2 linked regions of the Callithrix jacchus genome follow. The protein of the gene in region 1 interacts with the protein of each later gene in a pairwise test. Links are inferred from orthologs where the notes say so. Each region holds a gene or a part of one and is shown in the gene's direction. Other genes may lie near its edges.

Region 1 (7,232 bases):
CAAACCAGGGGAATCTGGAGCAGGAATGTGTCCTGTGCTCTTGTTCCAATACAAATAAACACAGCACACACTAGGTGTTTTGTGCACATCATCTCCAGACACTTTCTGATAAATAAGGGTAATATCCTCAAGGGAGATGGGAGGCCCAGAAGCCACTGCGCTGGCACTCTTTGCCCTGGGCTGCAGGATCCAGAGCCTGTTCCATGAAAAGCACATTCAATTAGGTTACCTCGTGTGTAATCCGACATACTCTAGCAAGGTCTAGTTTTTGAGAGGTGGTTAAATGAATGAAAATAAAAGTGGTTTAGATGGAAGGATAGTTGAAAGAGACGGAAGTTTTTGGTCCTTGAAACACATTTTAGAATCTGTGTTGCACCTACTCAGGAAGTCTACCTCATACTAATATTGAGTCATCTATCAAGTAATAAGGAAATATTAATTAGTTTTCCTTTCTAAGTAGCACTTTGTCTGATAGGGCTTTCTTTGTCCTAGAATATGGTATAATCTCCGACATCTCCTGCACTGAAAAATAAGACCCAGTGGAGTGGATGGCAATGTCAGGGGACAAATGAATCATAATAAGAACTGGCACTATTTTATGTCTCAATGCATCTCAAATACTTTATATACATTGTATACATTTTACCAGTCCGACAAAACAGAGTTTATCAAACCCACTTCACAGAAAAAATGTCTGAAGCCCACAGTCTGTTAATGTGCCTAATTTTTTCATGGCTGGTAAGTGACAGGACTGGGGCAAGACCCCTAGTCTGAATGAGTGTAAAGCACACTCTGCTTCATGCCTCACAACCTGAGACTGACTGTGTCCCCTTACTCACTTTTCTTCTCACTGCTCCCAAATGTACATCAAGTTATAAGATTCTGTGCCCAATTTGCTGGACTGGAATACAGAACCAAAGCAACAAAATCACCAAAATGACTGAGACGTGTGAATAAAGGAGAGAAAGACAATATTTGATGACAATATGATTGCATAATCAAATACATATAAACTCAAAGGATCATGGGCTCACATTCTGTCATTCTGGTCAGTCCCCCCATTTTTTAAGGAAGTTAAATACTTTCCAAGAGAAATACATAAGAGACTGGTAAAGAGAAGAAATAGATCAATGTGTTTCTCTGACAGTATGACTTCTATCCTGGGGCTTCTGTTTGTGTTACAGCTTCCCCATCTTACATCACTCCTGGGACAGGGATGCATTGTCTGCAAGATTTGTTGTAGGGAAACTGGTCAAGACTTTTAAGGGATGTGGTATTTCCCAGGAAGTCATTAATTAAGGGACAAGAACCAAGAAAAAGACCCTCATATAGGAGGACAGAGCAGAGCAACATGCCAGACACAGTTCTTAGCCTGAGCATCTCCTCACTTATTCTTCAAAGTTCATAGGGACTTGTGAGTTCTTGGACCTCAGGTCAGTAGAGGGAGGAGTCCCATTCTCTGACACGTACCAAGTTGAGGACCCTGAATAAAGAATGAGGGAAGCATTCACCCCAATAGTCTTGACAGGATGTAGCTGAACCTAATTTCTACTCCGGAGGTCTTAAGAAGTTAAAGACCATTATCTCAGGCTAGCTGACTCAGGTCCATAGAGATAGGATTCCTAAGGTGTGCCAGGAGTAAAGTGAGTACCCTGAAGGGTGCAGGAACCACCAAACCCCTATCAGTGTAGACCCCACAGAATCCTCCCTATTGTCATCTCTGAGAGATTCAGGCATGAATGTCAGACAGAGGCACCCTCATATCATCAGTAGTAACAGAGAAGTGAAGGTCTTGTTCTGAGGTGGGCAGTCCCAGCTCAGCAGGGGGAGGAATATTAAGCCTTCCTGTGAGTCAGATTTAGGATCCTGAGTTAGGACCTGAGTAGGACGATCCACCATAAGACCTCAACCTGGCTACCACAGCCGCCACTCTTGGGAGACCATAGTCAGTTATGGCCAGATAAGGCCACCCTCTCCTCCTCCTATCAGATCTCAGGGAGGTACAGGCCTTTTAAACAGAGAGGTCTTGAGGTCAAAAAGGAGGGGAGCCTCAGGATCTTCCAGGAGCCAAATAAAGGAAAACAAGTGAGAGCTGAGGGGGCTGCTCACCTCTAAATAGAGAGGACAACAGACTCTAGCCCCCTGCATAAATCTTAAATTGCCAGGGCAACATGTGAGGCTGAGGCTTCACCATCACTTTTTTTTAAATACTTGACCTTCTTTTTTCAGAATAGTTTAATGTTCACAGCAAAACTGAGCAGAAAGCACAGAGAGTTCCACAGGCATCCTGTCCTCCCAGGCACAGCCTCCCTCATATCAACCTCCCAACCCAGGGTAATACACTTGTTACAATTGAGCATACAGGGACACATCATTATCACCTTATCAATTTAAGACAGAATTGCTTTACTGCCTTAAAAGTTCTCTGTGCCTCATGTATTTATCTCTCACTCTTCCCAACCCTTGGAAACCACTCAACTTTGTACTGTTTCTACACTTTTGCCTTTTCCAGAATGTCTATAGATGGAATTATGCATTGTGTTGCCTTTTCACATTGGCTTCTTTCACTTTGTAATATGTAGTTAGGTTTCCTCCATGTCTCTTTGTGGCTTGATAGTTCTTTCCCTTTTAATACTGAATAATATTTTATACTCTTAATTTACCCACTCTCCTTCTGAAGGACATCTTGGCTGCTTTCCAGTTTAGGCAATTATAAATAAAGCTACTATAAATGTTTGTGTGCAGGTTATTTTGTGAACATTCTTTTCAACTCATTTGGCTAAATAACAAGAAGTGCAGTTACTAGATCATATGATAAGACTACACATAGTTTTGTAAGAAATTTATAAACTGTCTTCCAAAGTGGCTGTACCATTTCGCATGTCCACCAGCAATGACAGTGTGCTCCTATTGCTCCACATCCTCGTCGGTAGTTGGGGTTATCAGAGTTTTTGATTTTGACCATTCTTATAGGTATGGAGTGGTTTCACATTACTTTAATTTGCAAGTCCCTAATGACATGTGATGTTGTGCATCACTTCATGTACGTATTTACTTTCTGTATATATTATTGTTGAGATGCTCATTTATATCTTTTGCCCATTTTTAATAGGGTTGGTCCATTCTTATTGTTCAGTTTTAAGAATTTTTTGTATGTTTTGGTTAACAATCTTTTATCAGATATGTCTTTTGAAAATAAATTTTTCCCAATCTGGGAGTTGTCTTATTCTTTGTGGTATCTTTACCAGAGCAGAAGTTATAATTTAGTGAAGCCCAGATTATCAATTTTTTTTTCATAGATGCCCATCACATTTTATGTCAGAACTAGAAAAGGTGAAATTCTTGGTCTGAAGTCGCAGTTATTAGTCATCAGAAGAGACAGTCCACAACCCTGCATGGAGTCCAGATGAGGAAACTGAGTGCAAACTTGGGACCTGAGGATCCCAGGACAGAGAGCACTAAATGCTTCGAAGCAGGGGTGGTGGGTTGAGGTGCCCCTACATTTCCCTCATCTGGGTCCCATAGAAAGTTAAAGATTCTACTTCACAACACCAATAGAAGGAGGCTGAGGCCCTGCCAAGAGCTGACAGGATAATTCTAAAAGTAATCAGAGTGGATCCTTTCCAAGCCAGAACACAGAGAGAACCCAGTCAGCCCCCAGCAGGGTTGGCAAGCTGCAGCCTAAGGCACATTGTAACTTCCTCAGCTGAGTTCTCAGGGGACAGAATGACGAAGAACAATAGCCCAGTCAATACTTAGAGCAGTGTTCTCAAGGAATCCTGCAGAGACGGTTTCTGAAAAGCCAAGGTAGTATCTGCCTACTAAAGGTGTTCTCAGGATCTCAATCTCTCTTCTCCAGGCACCATATCACCTGCCCTTCTGGCTACTCTCCTACCTGTTGTGCCTAATCACAGCTATCATGCCTCGAGGTCAGAAGAGTAAGCTCCGTGCCCGTGAGAAACGCCAGCGGACCCGTGGTCAGACCCAGGATACCAAGGTTGCTCAGGCCACTGCAGCAGAGAAAGAAGAGTCTCATTCCTCTTCCTCATCTGTTTTGGGGGATATTCCCTCCAGCTCCCCTGCTGCTGGCATTCTGCAGAGGCCTCAGAGAGCACTACCCACCACTGGTGCTGCAGCTATGTCATGCACTGGATCTGATGAAAGTGACAAGAGCCAAGGTGAGGAAAAGGCAAGTTCCTTCCAGGCCTCAACATCCACTGAGAGCTCAATCAAAGATCCTATAACCAGGAAGACGAAGATGTTGGTGCAGTTCCTGCTGTACAAGTATAAAATGAAAGAGCCCACTACAAAGGCAGAAATGCTGAAGATCATCAGCAAAAAGTACAAGGAGCACTTCCCTGAGATCTTCAGCAGAGCCTCTCAGCGCATGGAGCTGGTCTTTGGCCTTTCCTTGAAGGAAGTCAACCCGACCAGTCACTCCTACACCATTGTCAGCTTGCTGAATCCCACCAACGATGGAAACGAGAGCAGTTCCTGGAAATATCCAAGGAATGGGCTTCTGATGCCTCTACTGAGTGTGATCTTCTTAAGTGGCAACTGTGCCAGTGAAGAGGAAATCTGGGAATTCCTGAATGTTTTGGGGATCTATGATGGTAAGAGGCATATCATCTTTGGGGATGCCCGAAAGCTTATCTCCCAAGATCTGGTGCAGGAAGAATATCTGGAGTACAAGCAGGTGCCCAACAGTGATCCCCCACGCTATCAATTCCTGTGGGGTCCAAGAGCCTATGCTGAAACCAGCAAGATGAAAGTCCTAGAGTTTTTGGCCAAGGTGAATGATACCATCCCCAGTAACTTCCCACTCCTTTATGAAGAGGCTTTGAGAGATGAAGAAGAGAAAGCCAAAGCCCGGCCCAGAGTTGCAGCCAGGCGTGGCACTACTGCCATGACTAGTGCACATTCAAGGGACACATCCAGCAGCTCTTCCCACCCCATGTGAGATCTAAGGCAAATTGTTCAATTTGTAGTTGAAAGACCTGCTGCCTTCTGCTGTTCCTGTGCTGCATGAATAACTCGGTGATATATCTCTTTGTTGAATTTTCCTGTGATGTTTCTTAAAATAGAAAGGTTATTTAAATTCAGAATATAAGCTTAGAAATGGCATGCATCACACACTTATTTCTGTTTATCAGGTTGGTTTAGTAATAAGAGTTTGGTTTTTGAAATACAAATAGAAAATCTGAAAATCGTTTTTGTGATACAGAGCAAAATAACATGGCGTTGGAGTAAGGTTATTTTTAGAAATTTAAAATAACGCCACAGTAAAATAGAAGAATCTGAAGACAGAAAGAGAAGAAAAGCAAAAGTTGCTTTATTTTTGATTTATCTTACTACTTTTAGTCTTTTGTTGTTCATAAATTTGAAAGTTACATACCTGGTTTGCTTAGATTATTTAAGAATGTGGAGGCTTCGGCCAAGGTCAATGACAGTGTCCCCATTGTCTTCCCTCTATTAAGAGAAGACTTTGAGAGATGAGGGAGACAGTGTTGCAACTGCTCCTGGCATGTTCCAGTGTGATGTCCAACAGTGTCATCCACTCCTTGTGAAGTCTGAGGTATATTCTTTACTTTTAATTAAAGAAAATATTAACCTTCTAATTAATAGAGGGCCAAAGAGGAGTTGGTGGGAACATCATATATAATATATTTGTATGTAAAATGATTTATCTTTTCATTTTCCTGTTTTTCAGTGTTCTTTCTTTTAATTGTAGAATTATTTAGTTTCAGAATCTAAGTTTATGAATGGCATGAAAAACTCATTTATTAAAATATGTCAGGTTGAAGAACAAGAACTTTTGCATTATGTAAAACAATTTAAAATCTTTAAATCTTTTTCTGTGATCTAGAACAAGACAATATGACATTAGAATACAGAATTTGTGAAAAGGAAATTACCTAGCAATAAAGTTGGTGGGATCATGAAATAGAGAAAAAAAAGTAAAATGTGGTCAATTCTTGCTTTGTTTTATTCCTTTTAGTCTTTCTTTGTAAAACTGAAGTATATGTATCTGGATTGGGTTAGCTTTCTCAGGAATGTGGGAGAAATTAAATAGCAATACATTTGACTTCCGGCTCACTTGCACTTTAATTGTCCTAATATTAATTGAGCAGCTACTCTTCAGAGGGCTCCTAGCTAGCACTGGATAAGCAAAAAAATAAAAATTAAAAAAAAATAAAACCCTGTCCATAGAATTTTAGAATTCAACAGCAGCTATCACATAATGAAGGTAATGAGATAGTCCCTAAGACCTAAAGACAGTTGAAAAGAGGATATAAGAAGGTGGGGGTGTTTCTAGGGGAAGAATCTAGTGTAAATGTCCTAAGCAAGGTAATTGAGACTCTGGGAAACTGAACATACTGCAGTAGGAGGTAATTTTATGTTGCTGCATAGTGACTAGATGGGGCGCACCGAGCAGGGGGGTCACACACTCAGATGATGGATCTCAGAGTTGAGAGTTAGAGACTGGAATGAAAAATTGCCCTTAAAAGTTACTTTGGAATTGTGGAAAAAAACAGAGGAAATCTTTGCCTGGGGTAGGGATTGAAAATGGCCTGTGCTCTTGTCCCAGCGCAAGTGAATCCAGTACACAGATTAGGTGTTTTATGCACATAGTCCCCGGGGTGTTTCTGAGAAATAAAGGTGTTACTCCTTTAAGACTGGAAACTCATATGCCACTGGGCTAATACTCTGCCATCAGCTGGGGAGCCAGAATCCATTCCATTAAAAGGGCATTCATTTTTCTTTTCTTTCATGTGTTTTGGAAGTTTTAAGGGACATCTAGATTTTTGGTGATGGTAAAATAAATGAATATAAGGGTGGTTTGTATGAAAGGCTAGAGTTGGTCTTTGAAGCAAACCCTAGAAGGTTTCAGTTGCTTTCAGCTGAGAAAGACAACTCCACACTCAAACTATGATTCAGTATGGAAAAGATACTTAGAGTTTCTTTGTAAGCTGCATTTTGGGCTGATTTGTAGTTTCATGTCTTAGAATGTTGTATATTCTTTGTTATCACTTGGGCTTAAAAAAAATCAGCAGATTTCTTCTGAATCAACTACAGATGATTTCTTCTGTAGTTGAAATAATCATAGTAATAAGCATTGTTTAAAGTCTCAATGCACTCCAGGGCTTTGCACATGTTAACCACATTCCACCAGTCCTACATCACAAGGCTTATCAAGCCCATTTCACAGATGCAGAGCCTAAGGCTCATAG
Region 2 (7,814 bases), on another chromosome or scaffold:
ATATTTATAGTATATTCACCTCAGCACTAGGAACATTTTAGATATTTGATAAATTGCAACTGTGAGTATTAAAGACATTTTCAGCCAGGCACAGTGGCTCACGCCTGTAATCCCATTTGGGAGGCCAAGGCTGGTGGATTATCTGAGATCAGGAGTTCGAGACCAGCCTGGCCAAATGGCGAAACCCCATCTCTACTAAAAATACAAAAATTAGCCAGTCATGGTGGTGCATGCCTGTAATCCCAGCTACTACTTGGGAGGCTGAAGTGGGAGAATCGCTTGAACCGGGGAGGCGGAGGTCGCAGTCAGCTGAGATGGGGCCACTGCACTCCTGCCTGGGCAACAGCAAGACTCGGTCTCAAAAAAAAAAAGTTATTTAAAAAATTGTTAAAGGTGTTTTTCTGAAAAAAATAGAGTTGCTACAGTCATAAAAACCAAACTACTTACATGATTGACTATGAGGGCTCACTGCTAAAGGTGATGAGGGTAAGCAAGGGTTCATTATAAGCTCTAATTTTCTATATGTTTGAAACTTTTAATAATATAAAGTTTCAAAGAAAGTACTTGCCAAAATTGTGTGTTTAAAATAGAAGATCTATAATACTGGGTTCCTGCTCCTAAAACTATATAATCCAGTTGGTGTCACAAGAGAAGCAAATGAAAAAGCAGATGAGAAAGTGTCCAAATCAAGAAAAGAAGAAAGGAGAGGTCCCTATAGACTCTAGCAATTTATAAAATTTATATGAGAAGTATAAAAAAGGTTAAAAAGGTAGGTAAGAATTAAATAGCAGGAAAGAAATTGCTTTGGGAAAGGGAAAAAATGAGGAAAGAGCAAGACCAATGGTTCTCAATTGGGAGCAATTTTGTCCCCCAGGGGACATTTGGGACTATCTGGAGATACTTTATGTTGTCCTAAATGGATTGGGGGGATGCTACTGCTTTCTCGGGGGTAGAGGACAGGGATGCTTTTAAACATCCTACAATGCACAGATCAGCACCCCACAACAAAGAATAATCTGGCCAAAAAGCCAACAGTGTGTTCATTGAGAAATCCTGAGCTAGATGCATAGACTATATTTGGCAGGTGGGTTATTCCTGAAGTCTACGGCTTCAAGAGACTCATAAACCCCTTTTCAAATGTAAGCTAAGTTGTGGACCTGCTCTGGGGAAATGGTCCACAGCTTTTAGCTGATTCTTTAATCTGATTCTCCAAAAGAGACTGAAGAAGCAGAAAACCAAGGGGTCAGGGGCCTTGGCTGAAACAGAGGATTATTTCACTCAGAAAATTATCAAGTGGCAAGGCTGGGCCTATTCGCTGAAGCCAGATTATAGTGAAACTTGAAAATCAGGCAGAGATAGCTGGACATCAACCTGAGGTCTCTGTGGAGACACAGAGGCAAAGACCTATTAGGAAGATATGGCAGGACAAAAGCTGTGTCACAATGTGAGTTGTCTTGAAGTGGCTTCTCTACTTCAGGTACCCACATTCCCTTCAATCAGACTGTAAAACTTAGTATTCTTACTGAGTGGACTAAACTATATCCAAGCAGTAACCAATCCATATTAATTTTTTTCTCAAAAATATATTTTAGTCATTCCTTCTTATCTGTCAACACTCTATTCTAGGCCCAGCTCATCTCACTCTTGGACAACTGGAAAACCTTCCTCTAAGTCCTTGGCTTATGCATCTTTGCAAACTGATCACCGGATATACTTCCTGGCAAATGGCAGGCATTCAGTAAGGTACACTCTTAAGTGAGGGTGGGAGAAGAAGGTCGTAGGTTCCTTCAAAATTACAGTTAAATAAAGTGATCTCTCATTAGTCCCATTATGGTGAGCATGCCTTATCCATGTTCCTAGTGAGGCCCCAGTGCGTCTGCAGACTGTTTGGGGATGGGGGTGGCACATGAGTGTGAAGCAGAAGTGGTGCTTCCCAGCAAGGGTTGGGATAAATCCAACAAGCTGTTTCCGAGGGACTGTGTCCCCCACCTTCCCTGCAACAATCACGAATAATCAGCCTGAGAAAGAGGATATGAGAGTTTGTTTGAAGTCTACAAACCTATTATTTGCCAATTCCAAACTCATTTCTTTCTTTCTTTCTTTTTTTTTTTTTTGAGATCTTGTTACCCAGGCTGGAGTGCAATGGCGCGATCTCGGCTCACCGCAACCTCCACCTCCTGGGTTCAGGCAATTCTCCTGCCTCAGCCTCCTGAGTAGCTGGGATTACAGGCACGCGCCACCATGCCCAGCTAATTTTTTGTATTTTTAGTAGAGACGGGGTTTCACCATGTTGACCAGGATGGTCTCGATCTCTTGACCTTGTGATTCACCCGCCTCAGCCTCCCAAAGTACTTGGATTACAGGCTTGAGCCACCGAGCCTGGCCATCCAAACTCATTTCTTACCAGACTATCCTCAGGCTAAATTTCCTTAAATATCAAATTTCTATTATCACTCTTCACACTTAAAATCTCAATACGTCCCAACTCTAAATCTAAATTGTGCTTCTGATTTTTCTTAAAAGTGAACCTGCTCTACCAATGCATCTAGCTTATTTTCCAGGAATCTCTTTTGCAACAATATACTGTGAAACCTCCACTCTCCTCTCCACTAACCCTCCTCTGTTCCTCACAGGGATTTCCTCACTGTCACGGAAACCAAAGAAGCTTATTAATTACCTACACTTAAACTTTCCCTCGTAACTCTAAATGCTCTTCTTCCTTTCTTCTTCACACATGGTCACTACTGCCCAGGTTAGTACCTGACCTTTTTGGACACTTTCTGTTTATTGAGTGTCACCTGTCCCAGCCCACCCCACTCAGAATGAAAGTGGGCACCCAGTCTCCATATGGGTAGCCCCAACCTCTTCAGCTCAAAGGTGACAGAGAAGGCACCCTAATCCTGTTCTTCATGATTGCCTCATGAATTTTAATTTATTATTTTTTTAATTTTTAGGTTCAGGGGTACATATGAAGGTTGGTTAGAGGAGTAACCTCATATTTGTTTAAAGTCCATATTGTGACTCCCAAGTACTCGAGTTTGCTTGCTGTGTATATGCTTTGTGGTCCACTGGAAACCTTGTTAAAGGTTTTTTCTGAAAAATAAATAGAGAGTTACTACAAATGTAAAACCCAAAGTATCTACAAGATTGTCTGTGAGTTGCTAAACTGTTGAAGCTGGTGAAAGGTATGCGAGGGTTCACTACACTCTCTACTTTTGAATATGTTTGAAACTTTTAATAATATAAAGTTTATATTCAATAATGTTGACTATATTATTGAAACCTAGAAAGCAAAAGCAACGGAAGCTTTCAAGACGATATAAAAAAATTAATATAAACTAGGGGAGGGACAGCGGGGGGTGGGGAGTTGGGGAGGGATAACATGGGGAGAAATATAAGATATAGGTGATGGGGAGGAAGGCAGCAAACCACATTGCCGTGTATGTACGTATGCAACAATCTTGCATGTTCTTCACATGTACCCCAAAACCTAAAACGCAATAAAATATACATATATATATAAAGAAAAAATAATATAAAAATATCTAGTGTTCAATTTGGTCAGTAAATAAATACATGAGGGTAAGAGAAATCACTAAAAAAAAATCTCCGCAGAATCCAACAATCTCTGAAGGCTTTAACACCTAAAAATCTAAAGAAACCCCTCAAAGCAACTGGACCGCGACCATTCTTCCCCAGTTACTCAAAAAGATTCAGCCTCATCCAGCTGTAGCCCGCTCTAGAAAGGCCGCTCGGGGAGTCCCAGCCCCTCCTGACAGGGCGGGCAGTTCTCTCCGACCCCACCCCTTCCAAGAACGCAGCCCTGTGATTGGCCAAGACGCGTGCCAGAGCGGCCCAGTCGCGGAAGAGCAGCTGTTACGGCGTCTGTTTGTGTGCAAGAGAAACATGGCGGATCGGCTCACTCAGCTGCAAGACGCGGTGAATTCGGTGAGGAATTTCATTCGATTAACCTCTGTCCTTTTCTTTCCTGAGGTAAAGCAAGGGAGGAAAGGGGCCCAAAAGGCAAAACTTGGAAGTAGGAAGCGAACTGAGACACGGCTTCGGCATAAAGAGCGTGTCCCCCTTTATGGAGGGAGGCCCCACCGCGAACTTGGACGTTTGAAGCCGGCTGCCGTGCGAGGCAGCCTCTTTCGCCTGAGGAGACCGAGACAGGGAAGGTCGCTCTTGTCCGGGTCAGACCGCCAAGATTTGTGGGCTGCGCGGTCCTGTCGTGTTCCCTGAGGACAGTTTTATTATTAGTGGTGCTTACGGAATCTCTTTCTTTTGGGAGTTGGGGGAGAAGCCGAAGCTTTTTTCTTTCCTCATCAATTTTAATCCACCAAGGGAGGTCTCATGCTCTGGATGACTGGGTTTTTGTAATGAAATGTCGGCGCTTTCAGGTTGGTGCGGGAGCGAAGCTGAGGTGAGGTGAGAGATCTTTCGTCTTAGCTCGTTCCTATGGGCCCAGAGTCTCCTTCCATCTCTTGTCTCTTGGCCACCCTTTAGAATACATCAGTTTGGGGACATCTGTATGATAGGAAATCTTCTAATTCTCGCATACCTTTCCGTTTGAGTCCTTTTTTCTTTTTTCTTTGAGACATTGTCTCGCTTGGCCTCCCGAAGTGCTGGAATTACAGGTGTGAACCACCACACCTGGCCTGTAAACACTTTTTTAATGTCTCCCCCAAATTCTATTCTATTAAAGGCAAAGTCTTGTGAGTAGTTCCCCAATTTTGTTCCTTCTGGTTATTTTTCCTCCACAGTATTGCCTGAGTGGAAAGTAGATGCAAAGCCAAAGGATGCGTATACAATCATGAGTATGGGCCCTTAAAGAATGGGTTATGTAAACCGTAAATACATTAACCAGTAACAGTTAGTATCATTATCTGGTATTATGGACTCTACATAATTGTATGTGCTGTACTTTCATACATTGGCAGTGTGGTAGGTTGGTTTACACCAGCATCACTGCGAGCACTAAGTAATGCATTGCGCTACAGCGTTAGGACTGCTACGATGTCACTAGGCGGTAAGAATTTTCAGCTTTGTTCTAACCACAGGGGACTGACATAGTATCCTTTGATCAAGACGTCGTTATGAGGCTGTGGGTATACTTATTACCATTACAAATTACATAGTTTTCCGTTAAATAGTTTTTCCTCGATAGTTATGTTTCTCATTGTCTAATTGTGATTTAATGTCTTAAATAAGGGGCTGCAGAGAAAACATGCTGCGAGGAAAACCTAAGTACCTGGTCTCCTTGCCAGTTTTTTTTTTTTTTTTTCATTATTGCATTTTAGGTTTTGGGGTACATGTGAAGAACATGCAAGATAGTTGCATAGGTACACACGTGGCAGTTTGATTTGCTGCCTTCCTCCCCTTCACCTATATCTGGCATTTCTCCCCATTCTCTCTCTCCTCAACTGTCTACCCCCCCGCTGTCCCTCCCCTATTTCCCCCCAACAGACCCCAGTGTGTAGTGCTCCCCTCTCTGTGTCCATGTGTTCTCATTGTTCAACACCCACCTATGAGTGAGCTCATCCTCACTGGTCATTAGAGAAATGCAAATCAAAACTACATTGAGATACCATCTCATGCCAATTAGAATGGTAATCATTAAAAAACTCTGGAGACAACAGATGCTGGAGAGGATGTGGAGAAATAGGAACACTTTTACACTGCTGGTGCCAGTTTTTTTTTCCCCCACTCACTGTAAGCTAATAACTTGGTATTTTTGTTAATACATCAGGCTTTGCACACTTGAAGAGTGTGAATCTACTTGTGATAAACTGATATACTCTGGGTGATTAACAGTAGTTTTTAAGGCTGAGAGGACCAGTCTCTAAATGTTGACTTCATCAAGATAAATTCTACCCTGCAGGGACTTGCCTGGGCTGCCAGCCAGCCTCCTTCAGGGAACTACTCCTTCGAGGTTTTACAAAATCAAATTGTAATGATGCTGCTGGATAGAAATCTTATTTTAGGGAAAATTTCTTATATTCATGTATGTCTTGTAACTAGAAGGATAGTAAGAACAGAGTGAATATGGCCTTAACTTTAGGTTAAGCATACTGATAATTGGATTTTGGAGAGAAGCATTTAGGATAACTAGTATGAGTGCCTACTGTATATAAGCGCGATCATGTTTTCAAAGAGATACTCCTTCAGGAGGTTAAAAAATGTATATTCAGGAGACATTTAAGTGATGGAAAAACAGTTTGTGATTAGGGAGTTACAATGAATTGAGTGTTTTCAACTGCAGGTTCTGAAGTAAATTGGAATATGGAGTGATGTGAACCAAAATAGGGAGAATCTTCTTAAGCATTTATTCTAATCATAATTAATTATTTGTATAACTTTTAACAGTTGTTCTACCCTCTGAAAACTGAGTGCAGAAGCTATGTCTCATTTACTATGTGTTTATATACAATACTTGTCATAGTTATTTTCCATAAATTTTTGTTGACTAAATGGATCTTAAGAGCTTTTGAAGAATGGAACAGATAACCACTGTGTTGAATATTTTTGTGTCTTGTCTGTTCCTCACAACAATGTTGTAATATGAGAATGTATCCAATTTAAAAATGATAAATGCTACTTGAGTTAATAGAACTAGGATTAGGATCTAGACTTGTATAGCAGCTGAGCGCTTATTGCTCCATTACAATTAGCAAAACCTGGACAAAGCCATTTAGTCATGAGTGACTTTATAACTAGGTAAATATGAAGGAGTAGTGGAAAACAAGACAGAGGAAAAGAGAAAGATTAGAAGTATTAGTAGAATTTGAAGATCAAAGGAAAGTAAGAATCTGTGGTTAGACTGGTTGACTTAGAGACTGTCAATACAAATTAAACAGAGAAAACAGTTGCCTTTGAGTTCTGTAATTGAACAATGGCAGAGAAACCCAGTGCAAATGCTTATTAGAAATAGGAGGTTTGAGAGGTCAAGACTAGGTGAGAGAAATTGGTGGGGAGGATAGGCGTTTTTAATTTGGAGATGATAAGGAATTGCTGTTCTCAATCTTTAGAAGTACTTAAGGAGTACTTTTAGCGCACAAGAGTTTAAAACTTGAGTCTTGAACAAATATGTTTCTGATTACTTAAGGTGCTTTTCTGAGCAGCCTTTTCCCCACTATTTCTTTATGCTTGTAACTACTCCAGTTTCAGAAAAGGAATTATATACTTTGTACATGAATAATAAATTTTCATTTGACGCAATGCCATAGGTAGATATTTGCAAGTCAGATTTCCATCACTGCTCTTTTCCATCACTGTTCCCCAAAAGTCTTTACTTTTGGCTTATAATAAATATTGGCTAGTGTTCTCTTACCATTTTACTATCAAAAGAAAAGAAATATTATTTTTATTTCAACTGTTTCAACTGGGTTGATACCAAACTTAGTTTCTTTGCAGAATTAAAATGTTTAATTAACGTTATTAGTAACTGGCTTATTTTATCAGCAATTATTCCTTTCTGTTTTATTCCCTTACTCAGAGATTATGATTAAAGAAATTTATTGTTGTTGCTGTTATCAATAAAGTCCTTAAAATTGATAAGTCCTTCCTAACCTTGACATGTTTTCTTTGGCCTAAGCTTGCAGATCAGTTTTGTAATGCCATTGGAGTATTGCAGCAGTGTGGTCCTCCTGCGTCTTTTAGTAATATTCAGACAGCAATTAACAAAGACCAGCCAGCTAATCCTACAGAAGGTAAACTGGTTTTCTTAGCTTCTCTTTGACTCTCACATTTATTGTAATCCTTTCAAATTAGATTTATTGAGCAATTCGGCTTATTTTGTTTCCAAAAATTATGCT

What was found. The genes of interacting proteins can lie anywhere in the genome.
Region 2: the proteins of MAGEB4 (region 1) and MED21 interact in binary tests that used the Homo sapiens proteins (3 or more experiments, as listed by UniProt). The two-hybrid records come from large-scale screens. The link is inferred for Callithrix jacchus from reciprocal best matches to the Homo sapiens genes MAGEB4 and MED21.

What each region holds. Positions count from the first base shown.
Region 1 is NC_133524.1:31,132,234-31,139,465, forward strand, and holds MAGEB4 (melanoma-associated antigen B4), read left to right. Parts: upstream 1-3,783; 5' UTR 3,784-3,919; coding exon 3,920-4,960; 3' UTR 4,961-5,513; downstream 5,514-7,232.
Region 2 is NC_133510.1:44,220,611-44,228,424, reverse strand, and holds the start of MED21 (mediator of RNA polymerase II transcription subunit 21), read left to right. Parts: upstream 1-3,883; 5' UTR 3,884-3,906; coding exon 3,907-3,948; intron 3,949-7,594; coding exon 7,595-7,709; intron 7,710-7,814. UniProt on the Homo sapiens protein: Component of the Mediator complex, a coactivator involved in the regulated transcription of nearly all RNA polymerase II-dependent genes.